Linked DNA regions of Rhinolophus ferrumequinum. The protein of the gene in region 2 interacts with the protein of the main gene of each other region in a biochemical or structural test. Links are inferred from orthologs where the notes say so. Each region holds a gene or a part of one and is shown on either strand. Other genes may lie near its edges.

The links.
Region 1: the proteins of PPARG (region 2) and NR0B1 form a complex in vitro, tested with the Homo sapiens proteins (2 studies listed by BioGRID, with this or other methods). The link is inferred for Rhinolophus ferrumequinum from reciprocal best matches to the Homo sapiens genes PPARG and NR0B1.
Region 3: the proteins of PPARG (region 2) and NCOA4 form a complex in vitro, tested with the Homo sapiens proteins (2 studies listed by BioGRID, with this or other methods). The link is inferred for Rhinolophus ferrumequinum from reciprocal best matches to the Homo sapiens genes PPARG and NCOA4.
Region 4: the proteins of PPARG (region 2) and NR0B2 form a complex in vitro, tested with the Homo sapiens proteins (2 studies listed by BioGRID, with this or other methods). The link is inferred for Rhinolophus ferrumequinum from reciprocal best matches to the Homo sapiens genes PPARG and NR0B2.

What each region holds. Positions count from the first base shown.
Region 1 is NC_046284.1:102,306,670-102,313,638, reverse strand, and holds the start of NR0B1 (nuclear receptor subfamily 0 group B member 1), read right to left. Parts: upstream 3,002-6,969; coding exon 1,822-3,001; intron 1-1,821. UniProt on the Homo sapiens protein: Nuclear receptor that lacks a DNA-binding domain and acts as a corepressor that inhibits the transcriptional activity of other nuclear receptors through heterodimeric interactions.
Region 2 is NC_046300.1:42,145,475-42,153,398, forward strand, and holds the start of PPARG (peroxisome proliferator-activated receptor gamma), read right to left. Parts: upstream 3,015-7,924; 5' UTR 2,949-3,014; intron 1-2,948. UniProt on the Homo sapiens protein: Nuclear receptor that binds peroxisome proliferators such as hypolipidemic drugs and fatty acids.
Region 3 is NC_046299.1:64,575,891-64,583,612, forward strand, and holds the start of NCOA4 (nuclear receptor coactivator 4), read right to left. Parts: upstream 3,008-7,722; 5' UTR 2,892-3,007; intron 1-2,891. Other genes in the region: MSMB (beta-microseminoprotein), read right to left, coding at 5,217-5,346. UniProt on the Homo sapiens protein: Cargo receptor for the autophagic turnover of the iron-binding ferritin complex, playing a central role in iron homeostasis. Acts as an adapter for delivery of ferritin to lysosomes and autophagic degradation of ferritin, a process named ferritinophagy.
Region 4 is NC_046292.1:18,430,311-18,437,104, forward strand, and holds NR0B2 (nuclear receptor subfamily 0 group B member 2), read right to left. Parts: upstream 2,584-6,794; 5' UTR 2,479-2,583; coding exon 1,935-2,478; intron 1,163-1,934; coding exon 864-1,162; 3' UTR 524-863; downstream 1-523. UniProt on the Homo sapiens protein: Transcriptional regulator that acts as a negative regulator of receptor-dependent signaling pathways. Specifically inhibits transactivation of the nuclear receptor with which it interacts.

The DNA.
Region 1 (6,969 bases), on a different chromosome or scaffold from region 2:
TTTTCCAACCTCCCTCCCTGATTTGCCTTCAAAGCAGATTCATGAAAGAGAAAAGGCAAATAGATGGACTCCATTGTAAAAAAAAAAAAAAAAAAAAAAAAAGTTTAAACATAAAAATCAAGGTATAGAAACAGATAAACAGCAAAGAAAGGATACACACTACACAGATATTACTCCCCAGCCCCCATATAGTGCATTTGTGTTTAAAACACACTCAGCTTAGCTGGCTAAACTCATATTGGGAGGATTCGGGAAAGTAAACCAAGAATAAGGGAGGTGCGTGCTTGCGTACATGCCTGTGTGTGTGTGACAAAAGTATGCAAAACAAGGCAGAAGAGGGAAAGTAGTAACTAGTAGAAAGTAAACTGGAAGCTGAACCCATCTTATCTTTGTATTCCAACAGAACAAGGCACATGGTAGATGTTTAATAACACTGACTGAAGGAGAAAACAGTTTTTCAATTATCTTAAAGACCACATGAGGCACTTATTATGAATGCAGATTTGCAGACCCTGGACCAGAGCTATTGAGTCAGAACCTCTAGGGAAGGAGCCTGGAGAGACTTTAAACAAGCTTCCCTAAAGTGTTTCTTACGCACAGGCAAATTTGGACAACAATGATATAAGCAAAAGGTGACGACCTACAGTGATCGCTGGGATGAGCTGAGGTCTCTAGATCCTGAAATGTGAGTTCTGAATGAATTATTTTCCCACTAATTACTGCTCTATACCCCTTTAAAAAAATGCTAGGCAGGAGGCAAGGACATAACCAAAGACTCCTGGTGTCAGGAAAAAAGGATATGGAGAGAACATTATGAAAACTACCCCAATTCAAGCTGCCTGGAGACTTCCAGCACTCTGTGACCCTTGTGGTGGGATTCTGGTTGAAGATGACTCTAGTAGTAAGACATACTCAAGACTAGGTGCCGAACTGTCCAGGGAGATGTTCTCCCATGATATGGTTGTCCTGTGTGGAGGAAAGTGCCCAGCATCCAACAGACATCCCATTGGGCCCAGGAGACAGGAGGTCCATGCTCCATAACTCATCGGCCATTTATTTTGGAGTAAGGTCACTTGAGACTAGGGTACATCATTTGCAAGTGGGGTGGAGGGCAGAGGGGTTGATTAGGAGGTCTCTAAGGACTTTTTGAGCTCTAAAATACAGTGCTCCTGGTCGAAGTACCTAGTGTGTCTTTTTCCTGCCCCTTTGCTAGCCTGATACATCACAGACACTTGGAGGATAAAATAGTCCAGTTGCTTAGGACCATAAAAATGACCATTCAGAGGCAGATCCAGAAACACCAAGTCCAGTGTCCTGCCTGACAGTGTCCCCAGGGGATGGTCTCTCTATGGGTCCTTAACAAATGTTTCCTTTCTTGCCAGTCTTTATAATAGAGTTTTTCCAACAAAGAAGTTCTAGTAAATTTCAGGACTGGGATTCAGAAAGAGATGTTGCAGAACTTGCAGTGAACACAAAGTTTTTTTAAAGCTATGCTAGTGGACTTAAAAGACTAGAAGAGAAGGAATAGCCATGTCCCTTGAAGGCACAAATTTTTCTGTAGTAACAGAAAGTTGTAGAGACAAGCACAGACCTCAACAAAAAAATCCCCCTCCTCTAGGCTGAGTTCCTGGCAGCAGCCTACCCACGCGATGTGGTTGGTTTCTGAAGCTCCCCCAACTATGCTGAGTTAATCACCATTCTTCACGTTTGCCCAGACACTCCCTGACGACTGAAAGCTGTTCAGCCCCTGTGCCCCAGGTAGGCACTGACCAACGCTCTACTGAGCAGAGAAAACCCAGAGCCCCAGGCCGGCGCCCTTACCCGGGTTAAAGAGCACGGTCCCCTTGAGGTAGGCGTACTCCTTGGTACTGATCCCCAGGCTCCAGCACTTGATAAGGAAGCTCTTGATGGCTTGGACCTCGGTGGCCCACGGCAAATGCCGCCCCTCCATGGGCGGTACCAAGTTTGGCGGCAGCGTGTGGAGAGGCAGCGGCTCGTCGCCCGCGATCTCCCGCCGCCTGGTGGTGAGGATCTTTTGCAGCAGGCTGGGCTCCCAGGTCTCCACTGTCTCAAAGTTCATGCGGTCCTGGGCCAGCTCGAGCATGAGCAGCGAAGCCCAGCAGCTGCGCACCAGCACCAGCTGCTGGTCTAGGGGCAGCACCTGGAAACAGGCTAAGTACTTGACGAAGCGCAGCGTCTTCAACAGGCCTGCGGAGGCCGCCTCGCAGACCACCTGTGGATTCTTGAGGGCCACCAGCCGCTGCGCGCTACACAAGGGGTTCCACCAGGGGGCCCCCGGCTGCACCTCTGGAGCCGCGTGCGTTTGTTTTGCGCTCGTGGGCACGTTGAACGGGATGCTGCCTTGCCGCGGGTGGTCTTCACCGCAAAGGCAGCAGCGGTACAGGAGCGCCACTGCCGTCTTACCTGGCAGCTCCTCGCTGCCCCCCAGCCTCTGCGCGCAGTAGGAGCGGTCCCACCACCCGCCTCCGGGACGCGCCTCGGGCGCTTTCAGAGCCACGTGCGTTTGCTTTGCGCTTGTGAGCAAGCTGTAGAGGATGCTGCCCTGCCGTGGGTGGTCTTCACCGCAAAAGCAGCAGCGGTACAGGAGCGCCGTGGCTCGCCCGTCCTGCAGCCCCTCTCTGCCCACCGGGGGCTCCACGCCGCAGTAGCAGCCCCAGCACGCGCCCCGCATCCGCGCCTCGGGCGCCTCCGGAGCCTCTTGCATTTGCTTTGCGTTCGTAAGGATGTTGTAGAGGATGCTGCCCTGCCGCGGGTGGTCTTCACCACAACAGCAGCAGCGGTATAGAAGCGCTACTGCCCTCCCACCCGGCAGCCCCTCTCTGCCCACCGGGGGCTCCGCGCCGCAGGAGCAGCCCCAGCATGCGCCCCCCAGCCTCTCCTTGGGAGCCTCCGGTGCTTCCGGAGCCGCGTGCGTTTGCTTCGCGCTCATGAGTATGTTGTAGAGGATGCTGCCCTGCGACTGGTGGTCCTCACCCGCCATGGCCCGCGGTGTCCGCAGCCGGACTCTGTCCAGTGGCAACCGCCTGGGAGCTATTTATACTGAGCGCGCACGCACGCGCGTCGGCCGTCTCCGCCTGGGCAAGGGCGCGGAGGGGGGCGCGGCGCTGCGCTCCCGTGTGTTTGACGGCGACTTCAGCGGTTCATAAGGGGCAGACACTACTTAGAGGCTGGAACTAGAAGAGGAAGGGAGGCCTGAGAACTCCTGGACACTTTCCTGTTTGCTCTCATCACACCCTTCCCTGCCTCTGGAAGACCAAAGCAGAGCCGGGAACAGGTACTTGCGGCACTGTTCCAACTCTTTCCATTGAACTCTGGCATCTCATTTGCTCCCTTTGTTGGGAGGGCAGGGGTGCCTAAAACGGGAAAAATATATGTCTATGCCATCTTTGGAAACTTTCACCGAATGATGAAACTTTCTATGACTTATATTTTGTATATGGATAGGGAGGTTTCAGTTTTGGGGACCTTGAAAAATATAGACCATGGACCAGCACTATTAGTATCATGGGAACTTGGTAGAAATGCCCAATCTCTGGCCCCAATCAGACCTTCTGACTCTGAATCTGCATTTTTAACTTGGTCCCCAGGGGATTTGCATTCACCTTAAATTTGGAAAAGCACTGGTCTAAGCATGCAATCGAAAGCTGTGGGGACAGAGTCCCAGAGAGCAGTTTCCAGGCTCTCCGCCTCACGTGGAAAGGTGCTGGCGCTGGTAGTAGATGGCCATCAGCTGTGACTAGTTGGCCATCAGCTGTTACTGGTTAGCCATTAGACACTGATATAACTGCCATAGGTACGCTGGGTTGGTTGGGTTGCAGAGAAGTGGACGCTGGATTGCGAATCGTGTGGCTCCTGCCTCCTGTGTCTCCAACCCAGCCGCCAGCGAGAATATAGTGGTGTGAACCCCTTATCCATGGCTCCGTTTGTGTTCCTTTTTGGCCTCACCATATCCTGTGTTCTTATGTGGGGAGCGGGAGCAGAGACCCCGCATGACAGAAGTGTTTTGTTTAATTCTATTAATATTTATGAGCACCCACTGTCTTAGGTGCTGTGTTAGAGAAATAGGGGCAGCGACCAGGATGTCAAAGTGGCTACTATGGGGAAATACAATAATCACAAGGGGCTAAATCTTGCTACAGTGAGAACTTTGGATTCTTCTAGAGATATTACACTGAGTAGATGTGTAATCAACATTTCTTTTTCCATCCTTCCTAACTGAATAATGAGAAACACAGGTTTCAGGAAAGCTAGATTCTTAGGTTCTCACTTGTCACACAGCCTCCTTCCTTGAGTTCCATACAGGCACTGAGATCAGTGGGTCTCCCCACACCACCACCTGCCCCTAGTGTAACTAGTTGATTGTTTCACCAACCAGCTGGGTAATTTCAAAATCACAACCCTTTAGTCCTCAAATTCCTCATCTCTAGAATGGCAGGTTTGTTTAGTGATCTCTTGGGTCGAGGATTGAAGACATGGAGCAGGGAAGGGGTGGGGGCTGGTGTATATCAGCTGGCATAGGATCCCCTTTCTCTTTTTTCAGTTTCTCTGGGACCTAGAAATTCAAAGCTTAAGAGAAAAATCTAGAAAATATTTATTTTGCATTCAACCTGAAATTTTGTTCTACCTGGGAGAAGCCCTATAGCACAGTGGCTAAATCTCTAGCACTGGCACCAGATTGCCTCAATTTTTATTCTGGCCCTGACACTTTGTAGCTCCGTGGCCTTGGGCAATGTATTAGTTTTCTGTTGCTGCTGTAACAAATTACCACAAATTTAATGATTTAAGGCTACAGAAATTGATTATGCTACAGTTCTGGAAGCCAAAACTCTGATATCAGTTTCACTGGGCTAAAATCAAGGCGACGTTTCTTCTCGAAGTGCTAGAGGAGAATCAATTTCCTTGTCTTTTCCACCTTCTAGAAGCTTCCTGCATTCCTTGGCTCCTGGCCACATCACTCCGACTCTGCTTCCATCTCCTTTCTGACTCTTATAAGTGTCTTTATAATTACACTGAGCAAACCCAGATAATCTAGAATAACCTCTCCATCTCAAAATTGTTAAATCACATTTGCAAAGTCCCTTTTACCATGTAAGATAACATATTCACAGGTTCTGAGGATTCGGACACGGACATCATTGGGGGGCATTATTTAGCCCTTTACAGGAAAGTTACTTAAGCCGCCTGTACCTCAGTTTCCTTATTTGTAAAACATGAAGAGTGGTTTCTGTGAAGTAATCCATGTACATGAGTTACTTCATGTAAAATGTTTGCTTGGTATATGATAAGTATCCCCTTTTTTTAAAAGATAATGTGGGATAACTTCAGGGTTAGGAAGTGATACTATACCATCATTATTCTCTCCCAGGGAAAGCCACCCTCACCCTCCACCCAGGAGCTGTCTCATTTTCTTCTACATGTCCACATTTCTTGGCCCAGACTCAAAACACTGGATGGGTTACCTGGTCCACACAATAATGTATTAGGGAAATGTTATCTCATTGTCCATTTCATCATTTGCCATTTCCAATATTCAAGCTACTATTTTGGGTATGCTATTGCTATTTCTACAGTCTTCCTGCTTGATGAAGCCACCAAACAACCTAGCTGAAAACCCAGGCTGCCTCAGTCCCAACGTAAGTTGCCAGTGCTAGTTACTTTATACTATGTTACCCTACTTTATTTTCCTCCTAACACTTATCCGAATCTGATATGATTGATTTGTTTAGTTATTTGATGCTGGTTGATTGTCTCCCCTCTCCACTAGTATAAAAATCCCCTGAGGGCAAGGAATCGGTCACTCTATATCCCAGCAACTAGAACAATGTCTGGCATACAGTAGGTGCTCAAGAATATTTCTGTTGGCTGACCACATGTTTAGAGAAACAGGAGAAGGCTATAGCTCCTACTCTCAACACAGAGGGCAAGCATTCCCACACAACTATTACTGAAGTGACTCTGGAAGAAGGAGAAGTTCGAAGGCCCTGTTGGACTCAGAGCTTCGTGGGGACCTTTTTTGATAGAGTGCTGCAGGCACTGTGGTAAAGTAACAAGAGGACTGAGTGAATAGTCAAAAGATAGGACTGTGAATTTGGGCTCTTTCACTCTTATAATGTTGAACAAGTCATTTAACTTCAGCCTTCACACTTGTGAAATGGGAAAAATTCTATCAACCGGTATGAATCTGTTCACTTTGTTCTTAGTCCTTCAAGGGTTATTTTTTTTTTCTCAATATAGCCCTTCACAGAAACGTTTTATTAACCTCTTCACTACATTGAAAATATAAAGCAACGTAAGTTTACACTGATTCACTTTCTAATGACTTAACATTGAGCAAAACGTTCAATATTACGTTAACCTTTTCACACCGAGTGGGTACTAGACTTATCGGGGGGATCACTTCATAAATTATATGAATATCGAACCATTATGCTGTACACATGAAACTAATATAAAATAATATTGAATGTCAAAAATAAAAATTAAAAAAATTTACATTAGCCTTTTCAGCTATGAAAGCAGAAAAATGCTATAAACTATTTTAATATATGTACTCTATCCCTATATTATTCAAAGGTTTTTCTAAAACTCATCTTGTCAACTGTATTTAAAAACAAACACAAAAGAAACCTAGTAACTTAAGCCCATTTTTTTGTGTGAGTTTAATCCTTCACACCTCACACGTATTAAATGACTTTGCCTTTCAGGGATTATCTCACATAGAACCTTCAGTACAATGTTGAGAACCATGAACTTGTAACATATTGGTTACAATTCCTGTTCTTTCCCAGGAGCAGTCTTCTGATATGTTTTATTCTTGTGGGGGTTTTTTGTCTTTTGTTTTTTGAAGTTGCAATCTTCTATTTGCAACTCTGATGGACTTTCTAGGTTCTTTGGATTGAGTGTGTCTAAAATGAGATTGCCTGCTTGTTCTTCACAAGTATTCATCTT
Region 2 (7,924 bases):
CACTCTTAAGAATAATCTCAAAATTAGTGCTAGGGTGAACTATTAACAGTTGTAAAAGAGTTACTTATATATAATGCAGACAACTATGAAGGTTCTCTAAAATATCTGCTCAATTAAATTCAGGGCCAACGTCATATCATTTAAGATACACAGGTTGCTGATCAAGTCTTAAAAATCATACAAAAAACAAAAAAGCACAGAACAGTAACTGCAATACTTTTCCCATTTCACAGATGATGAAATGGAGAGTTAGAAAGGATTAGAGACTTGCCCCGCTATAATAACTGAAACAATTAAAAATGTAAACACACTCATATACTGAATTAAATATTTAGTATTAAAATACTGGTGCGCATTGTTGAAGAAAAACATTAAGATTACATGAACCCATTTTTAAAATAAAAAATAATTTAAGTATATACTATTATTGGTGATAGTTGTTGTCTTAGTATCTACAAAAATTTCGCCCAAAATATGGCCTATTGTATTTGAGCGGATTTCCTTACAAGAACCTACTTAAGTATTTTAGGTAAATAAAAATTAAAACATGATATTTTTATTAAATAAGCTTAAAACATATGCCATATAACTCCCCCAAATCTACATCTGTCTTGTGATAAAATACAAATAGTAAATAAGAAACCCCCAGGAAGATTACAAATAATCTTAAATTTAAAATTTTTATCTAGAATGCTATGAAACTAACTGAAGTATGATATGTTGGTGCTATCTACGCTTGCAAGATGGTTATTCACAGATCTTACTGTACTTTTGTGAAGTCAAATCGATCAGTTTTAAAGGACCTTTGTCAGCATTTTACATCGCTGCTCTTTTTGTTACTTTTTAGTCTTAAGAGAGAGAAAGGAACAGCTCAAGAGTCAACTACCCTTACGTGGGAATTTGCTAGGAAAAAATAAGAAAAGTAAATTAGAAATTCAGTTTAACAGTTTTTAAGGCGAGGAGGGGCGTATGTTTATGCTTATAGACTGGTGTCTTAAATGCTCTTGATTAGTGATTCAAAAAACATCCTCTACAACTAATATTTATTTAGTGGAATCCTATGAGACCAAAAACTTGTTCCAGTACATTTGCCGCACCTATGATATATATTATATTTCCAAATTCAAGTGACAATGAATTCAGCAAAACACTCACAAATTAGAATGACTAACATTTTCTGTTCTATTCATTGGGCATATGTAGAGCCTACGAAAGAAACAAAAGTATGGGCCAGAATATATAAGACATTTGTAATGTATTATTTTAACATTTTTTTCCTATTTCACGAAAGTCTCCAGTTATTAACAACCGCTTCACAATTTAAAAACGAAATGCATTATTAATACTTGCATATGTTTTCATAGCAGTGCCTTTCACACTGCTATTACATGCATGATTATCTTGATAATTAAAGTTAGTGGCAAGCATCCTTATTTTCAGAGAATTACAGAGGAGAGAAAATATGTATTTGCTTATAGTCATATTACTTACTAATTAAAAGCAATTAGCCATGATCAGCAGTGCATTTCTAATGCAAATTCCTACAGTAACACTTTTTCTCTTGTACAAATTTTAATATATAGGGATAATATAATTTTATGTCACAGGGATTTTGAAATTAACATTGTGATTTTTAAAAATGATCATTTATCTTTTAAATGTAAGTCTGAAATATACAAAGAAATGAACAGTAAGGAAACTAGTCTCTTCAAAGAAAATAGTGTATTTATTTAAAATACTAGCTGCAGTTTTAATTTAAAAAAGAAATTATATTCTTTTAAATTTAAGAATGAAAAAACCATGACCAAAAAACTTAGCTTGAAATTCTCCAACCTTTATACTTCACTGATGCCATGCTTTTACAATAGTTATTGCAAAAGCTACAAACCAACTTAAATATGAAAAAGAGTTTTGATTTAAAAATTAAATCACGTTATTTTTCTTCCAGTAAGAAAAGGCTGAGCAGTCACTAGTTAATTTTAAGGTGTTTTATTTTAAGATATAATTATCAGCAAGCGGAGTATCAGATATCATGAAATTTAAATAAAGAAGAAAAATTATATGAAGTACAAAGTAAGACAAAAATGGATGGTTTTGTAACAGACTTCATTGCTTGGCTAACACATTAGTTTTAAAATATTGTATATTAAAGAATCCTATGGAACATATATAACCTCCAGAGTGAATCTGATTGAAAAATAGACAACACAAAAATTGTTTTAAAACTTGAATAGGATCTTTTGAAATAGCACTCCACATGCTAACTGGGAGTATCTATGAGTATTTTCTATAAAACTTGCATAGGAGTGGAAGGTATTTTTTTAAGAGAGAAGCCACAGTGAGTGTCTATGTTATTCTCTATACCAGAGGGTTTTCTAACTCATTTAGCACCATCAGGTTGGTTCTACTTTCAGCCAGGAATTGAACACTTAGCCCTAAACAAGAAAGACTGCCACAGAACACCTGAGATCCGTCGAACAAATCTACTCAGGTCCTTTAAAAAGTAAGCTGGTTATTGTTCTCCCAATAACTCATTACAATTTGTTTCATGAATGATTAAAACACCTAACATTAAAATTGTACTTCAAAATCGAGTTTCTCCAGCAATAGGTTTCACACAACTCAGTTCATCATCTTGCTCGGTTTTGTTTTCAGATGATAATTTACACAAATTAATTTTACATTTTGTCCCCAAGCTTAAAAGGAGGAAAAGAAGAAAAACTTTAGCTTCTTCATGACACACTGCTGTTTTACTTTATTCTCCTGAAATAATTTTTCATTTTTCCAACCATTATCCTCAAACTCAAGTGAATTAGATTCTCACCGTAAAGCAAGAGCACAGCAAAATAATAACGCTATAATGTAATTAACCATCAACGTTATCTTGCACATTTTGGATACATCACCAAAACATTTCAGCAAAATGCAGTTACAGTGAGCCGACTCACCTAAGCACTGGGAGTTAAGAAGAATTTAGAAATGCAGCCTTCTGATTCACCAGCAGAGGTAAAGGCCCCTTCTTTACCTAACTGACCTTATATAAAAGCAGCAGATAGGTTACTCCCAGTTTCTGCCTCCTTACCTTAGGCTCCTCCCCAAATACCAAGGCATAAAGTACCACGACTACACACCCACCTTGCACCCCCTACACTGAGGGACCATGATTACCTACCTCGGTTAGGCTACAAGTGCAGTAGTAAAGCTTGTGCGGACGAGTGGGGGCCTGCAACACGCTAACACTCGCTTTCCCAACAGGGGATGAGAGGGAGCCGCACTTTCCATCCCCGACGACCCTGGGGGCTCCAGCCCACACCCCCACCCCTCCACTCGGCTCAGAGTCAGCAGAGAGCTTAAGGGCACCGGGCTGGGTGACTCCAAGGGCGTCCCTCGCTTAACTGTCACTACGACCCTACACAGCGATCGCCGCCTGGGTTCTGCAGACCCAGCAAGAGGACTCCACGGCCGCCAGACGGCCACGCACGGGATCCCGCGTTTCTACCCCAATGTCCCCCGCGAGCCGCTCCCGGAAGCCTGAGCACCTCCTCCGGTGATCGGAGGTCCCGGGTCCTCTAGGACCTCCACCCAGGGCAGCGCAGGACTCGAGGGCTCGCGTCTCCTGGGGCTGGACCGCCGCTCTCTGGCGCGCCTCGCGTGCAGCCCTTGCCCTCCACCGCCGCGTTTGCTCGCGCTGCGCCGGGACTTCTCGGGGCTCAGTCCTCAGCTCCGGACCTGTCAGCCCCTGTCCCCGCGGACCGTGACCCCTCTGCCCACGACCCCTCAGCCAGAGACCCCTTCAGCGGCGACCCTTCAGTCCGTCCGGGTCCCCTCTGAGCGAGCCCTCAGCCCCCGCCAGCTCTCAGCATAGATAGACCCTCCTCGGTCCCGGACCCCTCTGCGCGCCGCCTTCCCCCGATTCCCCTCGCCCCGCATCTCCCGCCCCGAGGCCCCGTGGGCCGGAGCGCCCCCGGGCACCCTGATTCTGACCTGCGGCGGCGGCGGCGGCGTGGCGCCCCGCTCTAGTGTCCCGGCGGCTGACCGAGCGCCCCAGGCGGCTGCTCCGCAGGGGCCTGGAGTGCGGTCGGCTCCGCCTGCCCGAGGCCGAGCGGGGCCAGGGGCGGGCGCGGGGTGTGGGCGGCGGGCGAGCGGGGAGGGAGCGGCCCGCGGCACCCGCGCCCTGGCGCACAGTAGGGCCCCTCGCCTCCGAGGCTGCCTTTTCTGAGCGCCTACTCGGCGCCCAGCCCGGTTTGTTCCTCACAATCACCGCTGGGAGGCGGCCCCGAATGGTCCCATTTTACAGAGAAGGGCCCCGGGCGAAGCTCAGAAAGATGCCCCGGGTCACGTTAGAGTAGAGCCCGGGATGTGGGGTTCTGGAGCCCGCCCGCCCTCTCCAGGCCAGTGTGTCTCGCCTTTCGCAGAGTGCTCTGCGAGATTCCCACTCGCCCCGCAATTGCTCTTTTCCATGACATTCTTGACAAAAAGTAGTTAAAAGCATACTTACGATCACCTGGTTTTTATCTGATATCCTAATGGTGCTGCACACTTTCAGAGCCCCCCTTTTTCATTTGTAATTCAAACTGGTATTCATTAGTCAACGTGACAGAGTTTTAGCTTTAATCATTAAAAGTATTTCTTAAACTCATTAACATAATTTCTTGAATTATTTTAACAGTGTTCCTTACACGAAGGGACTCGGACACATGGGGTAGCGGTGAGACGCTAGGTGTGGGGACGTCAAGTTTTCAAGTTTGAGAAGTAGTCAGGGGCATGCTGCGTCATAAATCTGCAGGGTAGACCGTGGGCAGCGTCTTCTCCTGCTGCTTTCTCCATCAGGACCCATTCAAAGGGGGGTTGACAGATGCCCAATCAGAAAGCCTCTGGTCTTCCGGACCTGAGGCCTTACTTTCTTTGCCTTCTAACAATTGCATTTACTACACATCCTGTTCTCGGCCTGGCCCTCCCAAAGGAGAATAAAATCCCTGATTTCAAGAACCGTATCAATTACTTGCCCAGGATGCTCTCTAGTCCTTTAGCATCTTAATTTGTTGGGGATGCCTACCTAGTTCTTTGCTCTCTAATGCAGAATGCCTTCATTTGTAGTTTGAAGGAATTTTTTGTGAGGATGAGTATCATTTCAAAGAAAGTTCAGAGCTTAAATCAATAGGTGTGTATCTTTCCACTCATCCCCTAAAATAAGAGGCTAAGGGCCACGATTCTATTATAGGGACTTCAAAGAAAACCATTTTATTGACCACTGAAAAACGCTGTTTCTTTGCCTGCAATTTAGGTAGTCAGGTTGAGGTGGCTCAGCATTCTACCTTCAGGCCTGGAAGTGCTGCATGCATCCTATTTCTTGATCATTCCAGAGTTCCGATCTGCTCTTTTTTTTTTTTTAATAACAGCTTTATTGAGATATAATATACAAAATCTAAAATTTAAATACTATACATTTTAAATGTACAATGCAATGATTTTTACTTTATTGACAGAGTTGTTCCACCATCACTATCATCTAATTTTAGAACATTTTCATCACCCCAGAAGAAACCTCCTACTCCCCCCCTAACCCTAGGCAACCACTCATTTATTTCTGTCTCTATAGACTTATCTATTTTGGACAATTCATATAAATGGAATCACACAAGGTCTTTTGTGACTGGCTTCTTTCACTTAGCACAATGTTTTGAGGCTCACCTATGTAGTAGTAGCATGTATCAGTATTTCAATTCCTTTTATGGCCAAGTGCTATTCTACTGTATGAATATATCACATTCTGTTTATTCATCCATCCGTTGATGAATATTTGGGTTGTTTACACTCTTTGGCTATTAGGAACAATGCAGCTATGAACATTCACGTCCAAGATTTCGTATGCATATATTTTTCATTTCTCTTGGGCATATACCTCATTGCATAATTTCTGAGTCATATGGTAACTTTATGTTTAGTTTTTAAAAAACTGCCAGTCTGTTTTCCAAAGTGGCTGTAACATTTTACATTTCCAGCAGCAATGTATGAAGGTTTCAATTTCTCCGTATCTCTGTCAACACTGTTGTCTTTTTATTTTAGCTAACTTAATGGGTGTGAAATGGTATCTCATTATGGTCTTGATTTGCATTTTCCTAATGACTAGTTATACAAGCATCTTTTCTTGTGCTTATTGGCCATTTGTGTATCCTCTGAAGAAACATCTATTCAAATCCTTTGCCCATTTTTAAATTGGGTTATTTGTCTTTTTGTTGCTAATTTATAAGAGTTATTTATAGTATATTCTACATACAAGTCCCTTATCAGGTATTTAATTTGCAAATATTTTCTTCCGTCCTGTAATTCTTTTTTTCTCCATGGAGTCATCTAAAGCAAGAGTTTTCTGAAGCAAAAGAGTTTTCAGTTTCGGTGAAATCTAATTTATCTATTTTTTCTCTGAATGGCATATCAGTGCGTAACCTAAAGCTATGGAAATTTATTCCTAGGTGTTCTTCTAAGAGTTTTATAGGTTTAACTCTTACATTTAGGTCTGTGATCCATTTTGAGTTAAAGTTTGTGTATGGTGTGAGGTAGGGCCAATCTGCTTTCGGCGGGGGAAATTTGAATTAAACAACACTGATAAAAGGAATCCCACTGCAGGGAATTCATAACCAGTGCAACATTTTAGAGTTGGTTTGAATACTTTCTAAATTCCCTTCCAGATACAAAAATTTTGTCATTTAAAAAAAAGTGATATATAGTTACTGAAGCCTATAAATATAAGAAGCCATATAAATTGAAATGTATAAATCTGTATTTTAAACTATTGGCCTTGATCCATTGGTGGCTTATTAAATCAGTTTAATGGGTCATACCCAGCATTTTTTTTATGTCAAATAAAGAGGAACAAAAGAGAACAGAAACTATCAGAAAGCATACCTCGAATTCAAGAAAGTGTTGCTTCATAACGTTTGTGTTATACATGCATGTGCATTTGTGTGTAACATGAGTTGGTGTAAAATGTGTTTCTTAACCACATTTTAAGAAGTTGGAATAACACTGTATAAACTACAGTTGCAGATTCATTCATTCCACAAACATTTATTGAGTATTTATTTTGTGCCAGACCTTCTGTTAAGTGCTGGGGATAAAATGATACACAACACATGGTCTCCGCTCTGCAACAGTATACGTATGCAGTCTGAGCCATATGGAGTTTCTAGGGACAGAAGATTGTGCCTTGGTTCAGTTTTCCCCAACCACAGGGACTCCTTCAGAATATTGATGTTTGGTCCCATGGCACTTAATTTTTGTAATTAATGCTCAGTTGTTTATTTCATTTGAGATTTGCCAATACATTTGCTTTTCTTCCAACCAGGGGACCTTTGTTCCCAGGTTCATAATTGCATACTATGATTGTTATATTGGGAAGGAAATACAGGCCTGGTAGTGGGAGTTGGTCGTACATGAATTGATTCCCATTTTACTCCCACTATATTTAAACTAGTCCCACTGACAGACCTCAGGTATTTAAAAATTCTGGTATATTACTTTTTAAGGCAAACATTTTAAATCATGTCAAAAATTTTATTTCCCAAGGATTCAGCAAAATAATGTTGGCATTAATAGTGATATTTAACCATTTTGCAGATGAATTTAGGAAAATTAATGTGTTGTATTTCCAGTCATCCAGTCGAGTCACTTATCTACAGCAGCCATGTACAATCGGGGCTCTGACATTTGCTCCTCCTTTTTATCTGAGATACCATTTATCAGTCTTTAGACAATGTAAATTCTCAGGAGATTTAGAAGATTTTAATTTAAAATTTAAAAAAGTATAACCAGTTCAACATGCTGGACAGGTTAAACACACACATTGACATTCACAAATACACTACTGTTTGAATGACTCTATTATGTTCCCACACATGATTTTTAAATCTAGTTACGAAATTTTACC
Region 3 (7,722 bases), on a different chromosome or scaffold from region 2:
CTGCATTCTCCCCAGAGCAGCCACCAACACCATGATCTGCCAGACAGCTGTCCCGTACGTAATCCAGGCTGGTTCACCTTGTCCAGCTTGGTCTCCCAGCTTTCTCTGCCAGCAACGTCAGTTCCTTCCTTTCTCCTCATCTGTCACTTTTCTGACTATGCTCATGTCACAGCTACTACTAAGCATTTGCTGACCAAGCACCCGTCCCTCAATAGGTTTGGTCAATCAAGTTAGTTGCTGCGTCCTCTGGGCCCACTGCAATCTCACAGGTTTCCAGCATGACACCTGTAACACGTTACCCTTATTGTCACATGTCTGCCTCCTTAGCCTGAGAGCTCCCCAAAAGAAGAGACCATATATTATTTGGCTTTGTACAGCTAATGCCTGGTATCGGTATGTTGGTATTACCAACCCCTTTCACAGTCCATGTGCTCTATTGCATTGACACAAAGAGAAGGCGTCCTTGGAGTTATGCAATGCTGTAGTCCTAAACTCAACAGAGGCTTAATGCATGTTTGATAAATGAATGAATAAATGATAAATGCTTAAATTAAGACCAGCTACCATAAGTAAGGTATAGTTCTGCTTTAAACACAGATAATCAACTTGATGTCCCACTAAGGCCTGCATTATTTCAAGGAGGTTTTTCAAAAGTGGAAATGTTTCTAGCATAACTATTACTTTTAGTTTTCTTTCAAACAAGACAAAACTGGCAAGGATATTGCCACTGAAACCATGATTCCAAGATAGACGCAGAGATAAAGTGTCTTTCCTGACGCTAGACCCTTCAAAGCTCAGCTAAACAGATCCACAAGCACCAGCATGTTTCTCAGTAAAATGGGAAATAGTGCTGTATTTACAGCCACAGGAATTTTTTTGCTCAGATTTTGCAGCGCCACAGAAATTCCCGCTGACATCACAGAAGTTTAGTAGGCTTTCAGAACAGGGCCCTGCCCTATCTTCAACTGGAAACTTCTCACCACAATATAGTCAAGGATAGAAAAACATGTTATTTATCTGCCATCACAGTAATAATACCACTTTATCCCGATTTTATATGGTAAACATCTTGTGGATTTTCCCCCACATAAGTAAACAACTGATAAAATATTTTCCCTCTTCTAAAGCCAGGGGACTAGCAATAATGACAAAATAAAAGTCACCATATACCCAAGATTATGTTCTTATGAAATCTATAATCATCCAAGTATTAAAAGACTTAACATCCTATCTATGACCAAGCAAACAAAATATTTTAACCTATTTTGTAAGTTACACATTCCTTCACTGAACCAAATTATTACATTTAGTTATTAAGGCTTTATGTATTCATTCGACAGATATTTATTGAGTACCTAAGCTGACATGTACCATGAAGGTCCCTTAGGACATAATGGTGAACTTGCCATCTAGAGAATTTGTGCCCCTGATTCACCAAAAATCTAGCAGAAAATACTAATTCTGTGAAACGAGACAAATTTAAAAGTCCATCAGCAGCAATGAATGGCTCTGAATGTCTTCCGGTATGCTCACACTTACTCTATGAGGGAAACTATAAAACACTTGCTAAGTGGCTCTCAGGTTGTGGGAAGGATGTGTCAGAATACCCTGTGCAGCTTTATGAAGCCCCTACATAGGTTCCCGAGATTCTGGCACAGCTAAGCTGATTTAATGAAGGGGGGTGAGGTGGGAAGTCCTATGTAATTCTAAAATATCTCCTCCCCCTTTGAAAATCACATCTTCCTTTCCTTACACAGCTCTCCATGCTTTCCCACTTTTGAAATACCTGTTTGCCCAAAATTAATAATGTAATTATAGAGGACACAAAATATCATAAAACTTTAAACCTCTAGGATTTTCCCTAGGGACCCAAGGACAAAAGTTCCACAGAAGAGACGGAAGGAGAAATAAAACAAAAGAAATGTTACTGTGCTAGACTTTACATATATTATCTCACTTACAAATCCACAAGCTAGCAAACCTTGGAAAGTGTGCACCAAGTAACGTGTCTAAGCCCACCTCCACTGTAGCATCTGGGTAATGGGTAAGTCTTCCTCCAAGGGTCTGATGTTATTTCAAGTTCAGAAATGTCACACTACGACCCCACTGCAGAAGTGAGCCAACTATGATGACGTCCCCATCCTCACCCCAGGAAGTAACTCAAGAGTCTCATATTTCCAAATTACCAAGTGGGTGGTGGAAACAGTTACGCTATGGTGTACCTTACCGTGATTAGAAAACAATACAAAATGGTACAGTGAAAAAAGCTCTTTGCAGTCAGATAAACCCTAGCAGTCTGACTTCTGCCATTCTGGATCACATCATCCCATGTTACACCACGTGGCACATATGACTATATAATTATTGTCCCTGACATAGTATTTAGTTCCATGAAAACAGGATTGTGTCCATTTTTTTCATTGCTATATCCTCAACACCCTGAACACACAGGCACTGAATAAATGATTGTTGGGGGGAATGAATCAATGAATGAGCAAGCCTCGCTCTTCTCATCTGTAAAAAAGGAGATAATCAAGCTACGTTGGCATATAAGGCCGAAAAAACATTGCCTTCTTAGCGTTTCCACCCAACAGGCTAGGAATGCATATACTCTGGGCCCGTTCTAGAAAACGGGCCCCTCCTCACTCCAAGAGACGCTGTGACATGCAGCTGTCACACCCGGGGCCGGAGGGAAGGCGGCAGACAGGAGGAGGTGGCCCCAGGCCGAGAGTGTGGATGGCCGGGGAGAGGGCAGGCAGAAGGTGGCCCACGAGCCAGGCGGGTCGAAGGAGAAACTAGCCTCAGAAAGCAGGCCCAAGCCCGTAAGGCAAGCAGTCATGGTCCTCAGACCAGCCCAAGGCTCCGAAGGGGGCGCGCCCGCCCGTTCTTACCAGCTCCAAGTGCAACTCCCGGCAATCCGAGGGGACCTTCCTCGGAGAGACACAGCCCGACACAAACCAAAGGCCCAATGGCAGAGTTCTCGCGAGAGCGCAACCTTCCACCCACACCTCACGCCACAGTCTGATAATCTCGCGAGATCTCCGCTGGGTGTCAGCCCAAAGCGCTGTCTGCCCTCCAGAGGGTGCAGGGCGCAGGCGCACATTCTTTCCTGAGCTCTTGGTCACAGTTCTTTTGTCCTTACTGAATAAATCAGATTAAAGGAAACAAGCCTTTGTTGAAGGCAAACTCTGTACTCTGTATGGAGGAATATCCTAAGTGATTCTCTCACACCAAATGTACTCACAAGGTAGGTATTATTTAGCATTAACGTACGGATGCAAAAATAAATGTTAGATGACACAAAAGGACAAATACTATGAGTCCACTTATATGAGGTACCTAGAGTAGTCAAATTTATAAAGACAGAAACTGGAAGGGTGGTTGCCACAGGCTTGGGGAAAGGGAATTATTGTTTAATGGATACAGAGTTTCCATTTGGGATGATGGGAAGTTCTGGTTATGGATTGTGATGATGTTTACACAGCAATGTGAATGCACTTGATACCACTGAATTGTACACTTAAAAATGGTAAAATGGTAAATTTTATGTTATATATATGTTCCCACAATTTTTTTAAAAATTCAGTAAATAAATAAATAAATGTCAGAGTCCACATTCCAAGCCACATTATCTGATTCCAAAGCATGTGTTTGTTTGCACCATGTCACAGCACAGTTTTCTACACTCTGCATCCCACCACTCTGTACCTCCTCATGACGATCAACTTAATGCGGCATTATCACATTGGAGTTTTTTTCGTTGTTCATTTATTTGTGAGCAGGTGTTAAAATAGGAATCCTTCTGTTTCCATTTAGACAGAGGTCCCCATACTTGGTGCTAATTGTGCCCCATGTTTCACAGCAAGATAAAGGGCCATCTAAGTAGGATTTACAAAGAAGATGATCACGATAGGTTTTTATGGATACCACCCAAGAGTGACTCCTCCAAGGGTCAAGGCAATCTCCCCTGAGAACACCAGGAAACATAGATTCAGATGCAGAAGCTAAGAAGGCAGTCATAGCCTGTGGGTGGAAGTGGAGAAAGAGGGGCAGTGTAAAATGTCGGAGAGGCCCACAAAGGCCCCATGAGGAAGTAATCAGCCTAACCACTGCCGCAAACCGAGGGAGCCAAGACTGCATCATACCTTTAACTTCCCTGACCCCCATTCCCTCTTCAACTCAGATGCAGATTCACTAAAGTTGACCAAAGCACTTTTTTTTTAATCTTAGAGTGACCAAAAAAAACTAAGGGGCCTGCTTAGGATTGCTCAGCTAGTCCTATAACATTTTTGAACAGATAGGGTTAAAGGGAAGAGGAGAACTAAAGCCCTTTACCAATTGCCCATGGATTGTTCAACAGAAAACTGTTTGCTTGTTTGTGATCTGTCACATACACACATACCTGACTCCAAGCCCCAGAAGACCAGGGACCTGGTCTCTCTGGTTCATTGCTGTACCCCCAGCCCAGAGCACTGCCCGGCCAAGACACTCAGTAAAGACCTGTTGGGTGAACAAATGTTCTCCAACACAGAAGCAAGAGATGATCAGCACTGTCACTGTTTTAAGTCCCCAACTTTTGGGGTGGTCTGCATGCAGCAAGAAATAACTGATACTGGAATGCTGCACGCAAGCCATTCCTCATCCGCACGCCAGAGCTCTTGGCCTTTAATACCCCATCAGGCTGCATGTGGTCGGTCTCACAGCTACTTCTTCCAGGCTGTTCCACTCTAACCTGCCTTAACGTAAGGCAAATATAGAGATATATGAGGGATACAGCATGGAGGACACTCTGAAAAAGAGGAAGGAAGGAAAAACATAAAACCTCCAAGAATGTAAGGAATCTGAATTCATTTTAAAGACACATTAATTTTTGAATTGTTCACCAGATAGAGGGACGCCAAGCAGAGTGCAGCTATATCAGAAACAGCAGTGCCTGAGTAGGAGATGTACGATGATCTATTGGAGTGTAGGGAAAATAATGACTTTTATTCATATTTATTTTTTCTCTCCATTAAATGTTTGCATGCTTTATAATGTGCATTATATCAATGCATACATAATCTATAAGTTGAAAGTATACACATATTCAAGTGTTTGCTCAATATGATTTTACTGATAGGAAGGGTTACATAATCAGAGACTGTTAGAAGCCATAGAACAAGGAGGCCTGACCAGGGCCCCCTCTGGCTGGGAGACCCAGACCTACTGGAAGCACATTATACAAGCCAATCACTGACATCACAAGTCTTTTCTGGGTCCTCCCGCTCCACCACTGTATAGGTGCAGGTTTCCTTGTTGAGGATTTTTTCACACTTGACTGTGTCATAATTCACCGGTTTAGCAACCCTGTCATTGAGACAAAAGAAGGCGTGTTAGAAGGGAGAGGATGCCCAGCCTCCTCAGGGCCGGCTCTGTGGTAGAAGCAGCCCACACTCCAACTGTGCAGGATGCCCTTCACCAACTTAAGGGCACCCCTTGGTTTGCAACCCCTAAGTGATGCCTTCGTGGAACCTGGGCTATGAAAACTTAGACCATCCCTGACATTGTTCCTGAGATCCATCTTGTGTGCACAGGACAACAGCAAGTTCTAAGAGGTCCAAAGGCAAGTTCTAGGGCCAAGCAGCTTGTTCCAGCCTGACTCTTCTTGTGCTCCTTGATCAGGTAATGGCTAGCAGTACTGCTGCTTGAATGTAGAAAGAGAACAGTTGTCCCATCTCTGTCATGGGGACCTATTAGAGTAGGCGCTGGCTCAGCCAACATGAGCAAAGAGGCACTCCAGGCCAGACTCACGGAGTCCAGGGAGATGCTGACAAAAGCTTGGGGCCCTCTCCCCAGGGGTGTCCACCCATACATTCAAGGGAGCAAACAATGTTAGGGTTCAGTACTTTCCCAGAACCCATCCATACACCCCAGATTTAAATTACCCCTGCCCAACGTGTACACAGAAGCAGCCATCCCCAGAGCCCTTTGTGACAATGTTTCCTTCCAAAAGGTGACCCTTGACATATTTTAATCAAAGAAGACATTTCAGTCCTCCTCCCAAAGGGTAATCTAGTGATCAAAGTGAGAACTGGAAATAGATTTTCCCTGGGCACTTGGGGCAGGGGTCTGGGTAGTGGGGAGGCCACTGGGCAGCTTGCAATCTGCACAGTGTCCCTTAGAGAGTAAAATGTGTCAAAAAAATTCTCCCAGAGAAAATTTAATCAAAAGCTGTATTTTGCTGTACTAAAAAAAAAAAAAAATCATGAGAACAACTTGTTAGGCTATGAGGCAATTACAGGGGAAAGGAGTTGGCTCTGAACAGTAGGGAGAAATGTGCACCTTTCCTCCATGCGGGACAGTGTGCCAAATGGAATAGGGAGGTGGAAGGAAAGAGGGAAGTGGTACTTTGAGCTCCAACTAGGTGTTGGTTACTGTCCCAGGCTTAGCGGACACAGAACTGGCATAGAGAAGGCATTCAATATTTGTTAAGTTACTGAATTTATATGCAGAATCTCATTTAATTCTCATTAAACCCTGATAATCCCTATTTTGCAATGAGGAAACCGAGGCTAAGAGAGATTAAGAAACATATTCATGGTCATACAGCAGGTATGCAAGGAATGGAGATTCCGACTCCATTACTGTGACTCCGGCATCAAGGCTCTTCCCACGTCACTCTTTTCTACGCTCTGTCCATGGGAACCCTAGAAGACGGTGGTACTGACATGGCTGTGATGATGCAGCCCTGACCAGGTGGGGGCGTGTCAAAGCCTGGTAACATGGAAGCTTTGGCCACTTTGGAGGTGTGCTGCAATGGCAGGGAGAAAAGGCTCACTAGCCCTTAACTTGGCTGATATAATCAAATTCCAGAGTTACACTGACACATGATACTAACGCAGTGTCAAATTTCTGGAGCCACAAATTCAAGGTTCAGCTATCACCTGTAGTGACCCAGCCAAGGCAATACCTGGGAACCTGCTTCAGGCAGCCAGAAAGTCTCCTAATCTGATATTTTTCCTGTTCCATAAAGCACTTAGCATGGAGCATCCTCAATAAATGTGTTCGGAACTTTCCAGATACTTAAAGTTACTCAGTAGCACTCAGATGTTCTGATTTAAGTCAAGTGCTCGCTGCTCTACTCTCTGGTGGTGTCATAAAACTCTGAGATACCTGTTACAATTCAGATTCCTTAGGTCCCTATAGCTTCTGATTCAGTAGGTTCTGAGTGGGCCCCAGAAAGCTGTTTTCAGCAAGCTTCCCAAATGAGTCTGTGATCAGGCAAATCTAAGAAACACTACTTTGTTTGTGTTTAACCAATGCTTCTTTCATCAAAGCCACTCCTGTTCTTGCAAAACACTATAGGCTAAGGCTGAAGTGAAGGCATCAAGTGGAATTTGCCAGGGGGTGAGGACTGGAGGTGGAGTGGAGTGGCTGTATAGACATAGCTGGTGGAAAAAAAAAACAAGAAAATTAGGATCACACTGCAGGTACTCTCTTCTATCAGCCCACGTACTAGACCTTTGGTGTCCACAGCAACCCAGCAGAAAACATCTGTGTGATTTGGGGCTGACAGTTTAAACTTAAGCAATGAAGAAACTAGGGTTTTGAGTACATGTTATCCTTTCCCCCTCACACCCTATGCCCTCTGCCTGTGCTCTGACTCACTCCTGTTCTTACAAATCACCACAGTCCAAAGCAGAAGTGAAGACCAGATAACCTTTACAATAGCTTCAGACCTTT
Region 4 (6,794 bases), on a different chromosome or scaffold from region 2:
GCTAGTATGGCAGCTAAACCAAGGCGGTAGCCAGGCCAGCCCTGGATACCCTTGCCCCCTCCCATTGGGAGAACAATAGGCCATCCTCTTCTGTTGTCTGAAGGCCTGGAGGAAGTGGATGATGCCGAACTGCAGAAATTCCAGTGACCTTGTCCATTTCAGTTAGGGAATGGGCTGCTTTGTTTTCCTTATTGTCTGTGATTGGGCGCCTGTAGTGGGCAGGAGCTGAGGGGTCAGTGAGGGGTTTGGGGACAAAGAGAAACTGCTCCCCCCACAGAAATAAAGGCAAGGAGGTGACGGGGTCCTGAACTGATCCTATCCCCTGGACTCAGAAATGTGCAAAATCAATCCCATCCTCAGAAATGAAATCATCATTCCACTCTGAAAATTAATATCCTGGTTCTCTGAGGTCTGGCTCTTGCACCCCTTATGGTTCCTTCCTCTTGGGCTCCCTCTGATGGGGGCAGGGTGGACCCTGGCGGTGAGATGGTCCCTTCCAAATGTACAAAATACAATGTCAGCCTCCAAGGGTGTAAGCCTTTTATTACAAAAACCAATAACTTAAGTCAATTCTGTACAGTCAGTAGGACTTTTGGCCCAATGAGCCGTCTAAGCTTCCGTCTCCATCCCAGGAGAGGACAGGATTCTTGGCCCAGAGACTCTGGGGACCTCCAAGGGCCGGCCAGACAGCTGGAGCACTGTGTCCAAACCAAGGAAGACCAAGACAGGCTGTGGCTGAGTGAGAGGGCACATAGTCCGTCTGGCTGGGCTAGGGCCAGCTTTCTCCTAGGGGGCTGAGTGCTCTCTAATAGGCTTGCCCCCTCTCAGAGCATTGGGTCACTTCTGGGGGCAGCTGGGCCAAATCAGCGCTGCCAGCTTCTGCCCAAACTATACCTGATCTCTGCTTGGGCTGGAGCAGGTCGGCTCAGCAAAAGCATGTCCTCGAGGAGGCCAGCGATGTCAACATCTCCAATGATAGGACGAAAGAAGAGGTCCCCAAGTAGGCTGTGTGGAATGGACTTGAGGGAGGAGGCTGTGAGGAGGACATGGGCCAACCGGCCTTGGCCTGCTGGGCACCAGGGCTCCAGGACCTCAAACAGTGCCTGATGAGCCTCCTGTTGCAGGTGCCAGATGTGGGAGGAGGCATGGAGACCTGGCATGTCTGCGGGCAGAGGGTGAAGAGCACTGGTGAGCATCCCACTCCCAGCCACCACAGGGCGAGACTGGCCCCAGACCTGAGGTCACTGGGAAAATTATCTTATCTCTGTGCCTCAGTTTCCTCATCTGTAAAATGGGTATAATAATAGTTCCTATCTTGTAGGCTTGTTATGAGGTTTAAATGAGCTAATATATGTAAAAAATGGAATCGGGCCTAACATACAGTAAGTGTAATATGAGTATTTCGCTAGATTATTATAATTAATTACTATAATTTACGTATTCCTTGAGGGCCTGTTGGTGAGGAATTCTTATCGAGATGTTCTCCAAATTACAAACAACACTACCTCTATCCCTTGCTCTCCTAGCTAAATGGTACAAAGACTCCTTCCCCACACTCCCTCATTTTCTTTCCTCTTCTCTGTGTGGTCTTTCTGAACCCACAGTTTTACCTTGACTGAGGCATAGCTGTGTCTGCCCAACCTCCCCTCCCCCACTCCTTCTTTTCCTGAGTGTCAGGGCAAGCTTCTTGGGCAGAGTGGTAAGGGCCAATCTCTAGTATGTACAGACCTGAATTCTAATCCCTGTTCTGCCCCTTCCTGGCTCTATGACCTTCAGCAGATCATTTAGCCTCTGTGAGCCTCTTTTGTGAGATGACTGGAGATAAAGAGGACCCAAAGAGATAATGAATGTCAAACCCCTAAAAGGTGCCTTCCCTGGCTGGGCCCTGCCCCCCTCCAGCCTCGGCCCTTATCCTGGAATGTCTGAGAGCTCACCAGAGTTGAAGAGGATGGTCCCTTTCAGATAGGCATATTCTTTGGGGCCCAGCTCCAGGCTCCAGAAAGACTCCAGGCAGCACTGAAGCCACTGCACCGCAGCTAGCGAGGGCTGGGGCCGATCCGGCATCTGGCCGCTGCCTGCATTGCTGCTGCTGGGCTCCTCCAGCAAGATCTTCTTGAGTATGCTGGGAACCGGGGCCTCCGCCACCTCGAAGGTCACAGTGTCTTGGGCCAACCCAATCAGGAAGAGGGGGCCCCAGCAGCCTCGCAGCAGCTGCCGCTGATCCTGGGGGGGCAGCTGGCAGAAGGATGCCAGGTTCCTGAGGAAGACCACGGTCTTGGCCAGAACGTCCAAGGCTTGCCTGCAGGTGCGATGGGGAGCACGCAGCCGGACAGGCCGGTGCTGCCTGCACAGGCAGTGGCTGCGGGCAGGGGGCACAGAGGGCCTGGCCCTAAGGCTGGGGCTCAGGAGTGCGTACAGAATGGCTGGGCGGTCTGCAGCACCCTGACATGGGCAGGTCCCCGGCTGACTGGAGCTCATGGTGGAGGAAATGCTCCTCCTTCCTCCTGCTCTCCCGCCCTCTGCACTGTGGGCACTATTTATATTCCCAATGGGGAGGAGGGGGGAGCAGCCCAACAACCTTGACTCCAGAAGTCATATTCATTGAAAAAAAAGAAAGACACTGACCCTGGCAGGACTGGTGGGGAAGTGCTGGGGGCGGGGGCCTTGAGAGCTCCACGTGGCCCTGATAGGCTTCAGTCAATGAAGTGGTCGGTGCAAGGCATGGGGCCACCTGTCCGCTGGGCCGGCTGCCCCTTATCAGATGACTCAAGCAGATAAACAGGGTCATTAACCCAGGCTGTACCAGGGCACCAAGGCCTCAGGTGCATAATCAGCAGGTGGCCATGGCAGGTGTCCCTATTGGTGCCTGCAGGACTTTTGCTAAGCTGGGAAGTCAGCCCCAGAGCTGGACAAGCCTTGAATGCAAGGCCCAACCTGGAAATGCCTTATCGCTGATTTGTTTGCCTAACCTTGGGGCCTAGCTCCTGTTGTTGGTAAGGAACAGGCTGCAGAGAAGGGAGCCGGGACCCTGGGGGGCTGGGGAGGACTTTGCCCACTGAACAGTTTAGGAGGCCCCTTCCTCTGACTCCAGTTCTGGGGGCCCTGCAGAAATGAACTCTCTCTCCCCAGTCTGTATTCCTAGAGCTCCTGAAAGGCCGTATCTGCTGAGAAGCACTGGCAGAATGATAATGTAATATGGCTACTGTTTATTGAACACTTTCTATGTGCTACTTTCCACTCTAATATTCAGAGCTTCCTTATGAAGCAAGATTTTTACTTTTTGAGATTCACAGAGGGGAAGTGACTTGTCCAAGGTCATGCCACTAAGAAGAGACAGAGCCCAGATCTATCTGATTTCAAAGTCCTTGCTTGTTCCCCTGAATCTACTGGCCCAATTGTGCAGCAAGAGCTGTGTGGCCTGAGTTTCCCAGAGTTGGTGGCTACCTGGACCCCTACCTTGGTGCTGCCTGGTCTGCAGATGTTGCCCACTTATGATCTAGGCAGAAATGTTGCTTTGCTACCAACCACTCAGCAACTCTGTCTCAGACAGTGGGGCATATTATGTGAGAGTGGCGGGAAGGTCCTCGGCTGTGTCATGTCTGTGGACCTTGGCAAGCCCAGCCTGGGCAGCCATCACCATCCCTGGCATCTGCTCCTGGCTCTATCACTTTACAGTTGTGTGACCATGGGCTGATTTCCAAATTTCTGTGGGCCTCTGGAGTTTCATTTGAAACAGTAATGCCTGCCTGCAGGGCTGCTGTGAGGACAAAGTGAGGTCCTGGATGTCAAATTCCAAGCAGTTTTTGGCATACAGTAGAACTTTGCTCCCCCATTGCCTCTGTCTAAGGAACTAAGCCCCAGCAGACAAACAGGCACACCTCTTTCATTTGATTGTGAATTGTCTTAATCTTAACATGTATAAAGTTCCTTTCACATCCTTTTTCTCACTGAATTTTCCACAGCGTCCCCTCAAAAGAGACTCTGGAGTCAGATTGCTTGGGTCCAAATTCTGCTTCATCACTTAGCTGAGTGACCTTGGGCAAGTCATTTTATATTTCTGTGCCTCAGTTTCCTCATCCTTAAAAGGGTGGCAACAAAGGCCAATAGTAGATATTGGTTTATGGGGCTTGAAGCTTATACAATTTGAAGGACCCTCTTTAACAATAGAGAATCAGGTATAGAAGTGAATATTTAAAATACGAAAACAAATCACTACCAATTACAAACTAAAATGAACTGACAGAAAATACAAATGTCACAAACCCAGGAGAATAGCAAGATACTTTTACTGGTTGCCTGACAATATTTGCCTACGTGTTTTAGCTGTACCCTCTTTGCTCACCTTTTCACATGTCAATACTATTTCTTTTGAAAGCATCACAAACACAGAAAGATTGCAAGTACAGTACAGGGAACTTTTTTTTTTTTTTTACCTTGAACCATTTGAAAGTAAATTGCTAACTTGATGCCCCAGAACTCTCAAATACTTTAGTGTGTAATTCCTACAAACAAGGACATTCTCTTATAAAACCACAATATAATCATCAAAAGCAGGAAATTAACAATGAACAAAATCAGGAAAGTAATATCTAATCTCAGACCCCATTTCAGTTTCACCAAATGCTCTTGTGAAATCAGTGACAGTGACCGTGCTCAGTCCAGAATCTCACATTGCATTTCTTTGTCATGTCTCCTTGGTCTGTCAGTCAGTAAACTTTCCCTCTGTCTTTCCTTGCTTTTCAGGACCTTGACACTTTTGAAGAGTTGTAGTTATTTTGTAACAAGACTCTCAATTTGATTAGATTCAAATTATGTATCTTTAGTAGCAATATCACAAAACTGATGTTGTGTTCTTCTTGACTATTCTCCATTTGGCCCATGGTTCACTTTGGTCACTTAAGGGATGTCTGCCAGGCTTCTCCACTATAGTTATTCTTTCTCCTTTGTAACGAATCAGTATTTTGTAAGGAGGCACTTTGAAACTATGTAGTTATTCCTCCTCATACTTTGATGTATGTATGTATGTATGTATGTACGTATGTACATATGAATTCATGGTCTCCTACTTTATTCAGTGGTTTGTAATCTATTACTATCATTATTTATTTTGATGCTCAGATTGTCACAGATTTGGCCAATGGGAGCCCCTTCAAGCTTGAGTCTATATATATCCTTTCGACATTCCCCATTGTTCCTCGAACATCCCTTATTTTCTGGTATAACAAGGTGTCTTTTTTCCAGCCTCTGGAATCAGTCAGTACTCCAAGAAGCTCTGATTCAATGTTTTAGTGGAGAACAGTATTTAAAAACCATAATCTGGGCACTAGAGCCATGTCTAGAAACCAAGACCCTCTCATTGCAATTAAGGTGTCACTGCTCCCAGGCCCTCCCAGAGCTAAGAAACGCCCACATGTGCTCACGTACAAACACACACACATTCATACTTAGTTCTATTAATTATTTATACATATTAAAAAACCATGAGTTCAGACTATTATCTCCAATTCTAATACACCGTAAAGGGGGTTATTGTAGTTTTCATCTCCATTTATACCTCCATCTTCTGACACTGAGCAATCTGGCTTCCATTATTCTTAATTTATTAACCTGTTGCATCAAGCCCTTGTTTTTAACCAGTCTTCCATTTCTGCCACCACTTTGTCCCATATGAGATACCTTCCTCACCCATTGGGCTCTGATACCTTGTGTCAGGCTGCCACCTGCCACTCAGGGACCCCCTTCTTCTCCCTACTGAGCCCCTGTCACCCATGCCAGGTCACCGCTCTGTGTGGACACCCTCCTCACCATGCTGGGGCTCTGACTTTTGCTCTGGGCCACTGTGGCTCCCGCCTCCTCTACTTGGGGCGCATACCTCTACCTTGTTCCACACAACCTAATAGTTTTAGGACTGAAATTTTCAGGAAGAGAAAAGAAGGGGAGGAGGTAGAGCTGTCAATGATTTTTAAAAATAAATTTCTACAGTGAGACTAGAGAGATGATTTTATCTTTTCACTCGCAGGATTGATCAACAAAATTTCATTCTTGATAAGAGACATAAACTTCACACATAGATGTATATGCTACTTGTAGCACTGTTTATAGGTTTGTAGTAGGAATTTTCATAAATTCTACTTTGTGTAATTCTTATCAAAAAAGAAAAATATGCATGAAGCATTTATAATTGCATATGCTGCATTATTCCTTATAGGAGAGAACTTCTCTTTTGAGTTGGTGTCAATATGAAATGACAACTTAGTGATGACTAAGTGATAGGATTTGGTGCAGCTTTGCTTTTTGTTCTACACATACCCTGTTTCTTCCCCCATCACCGACGTATTTCCAGGTGTCTTGGGAATCATTCATATTGGGAAGTGGGATGAGAGTGGGAAGAAACAGTGGTCCTAACCAACAAATTTTTAATCAATTTAAATTTTTATTTTTTCAAATTAAAAAGAAAAAATATGTATGTATATGAGGTCTGACAATTACATTCGTGAACTTGATATCAGAGGGATTATTCATTATGAAGTTGTACCAACTGGACAATCAGTTAACCAAGTTTACTACTGTGTTTTCCTGAAAATAAGACCTACCCCAAAAATAAGCCCCAGTTGAGATCGTCAGCCAGACAGATGCATTTAGTATGTTATGACGATGTCTCAGAAGAAGATGACATGACTGTATTTGAATATAGATTGTTGTACATGAAAAAAATAAGATATTCCCTGAAAATAAGCCCTAATGTGTCTTTTGGAGCAAAAATTAATATAAGACCCAGTCTTATTTTTTGGGAA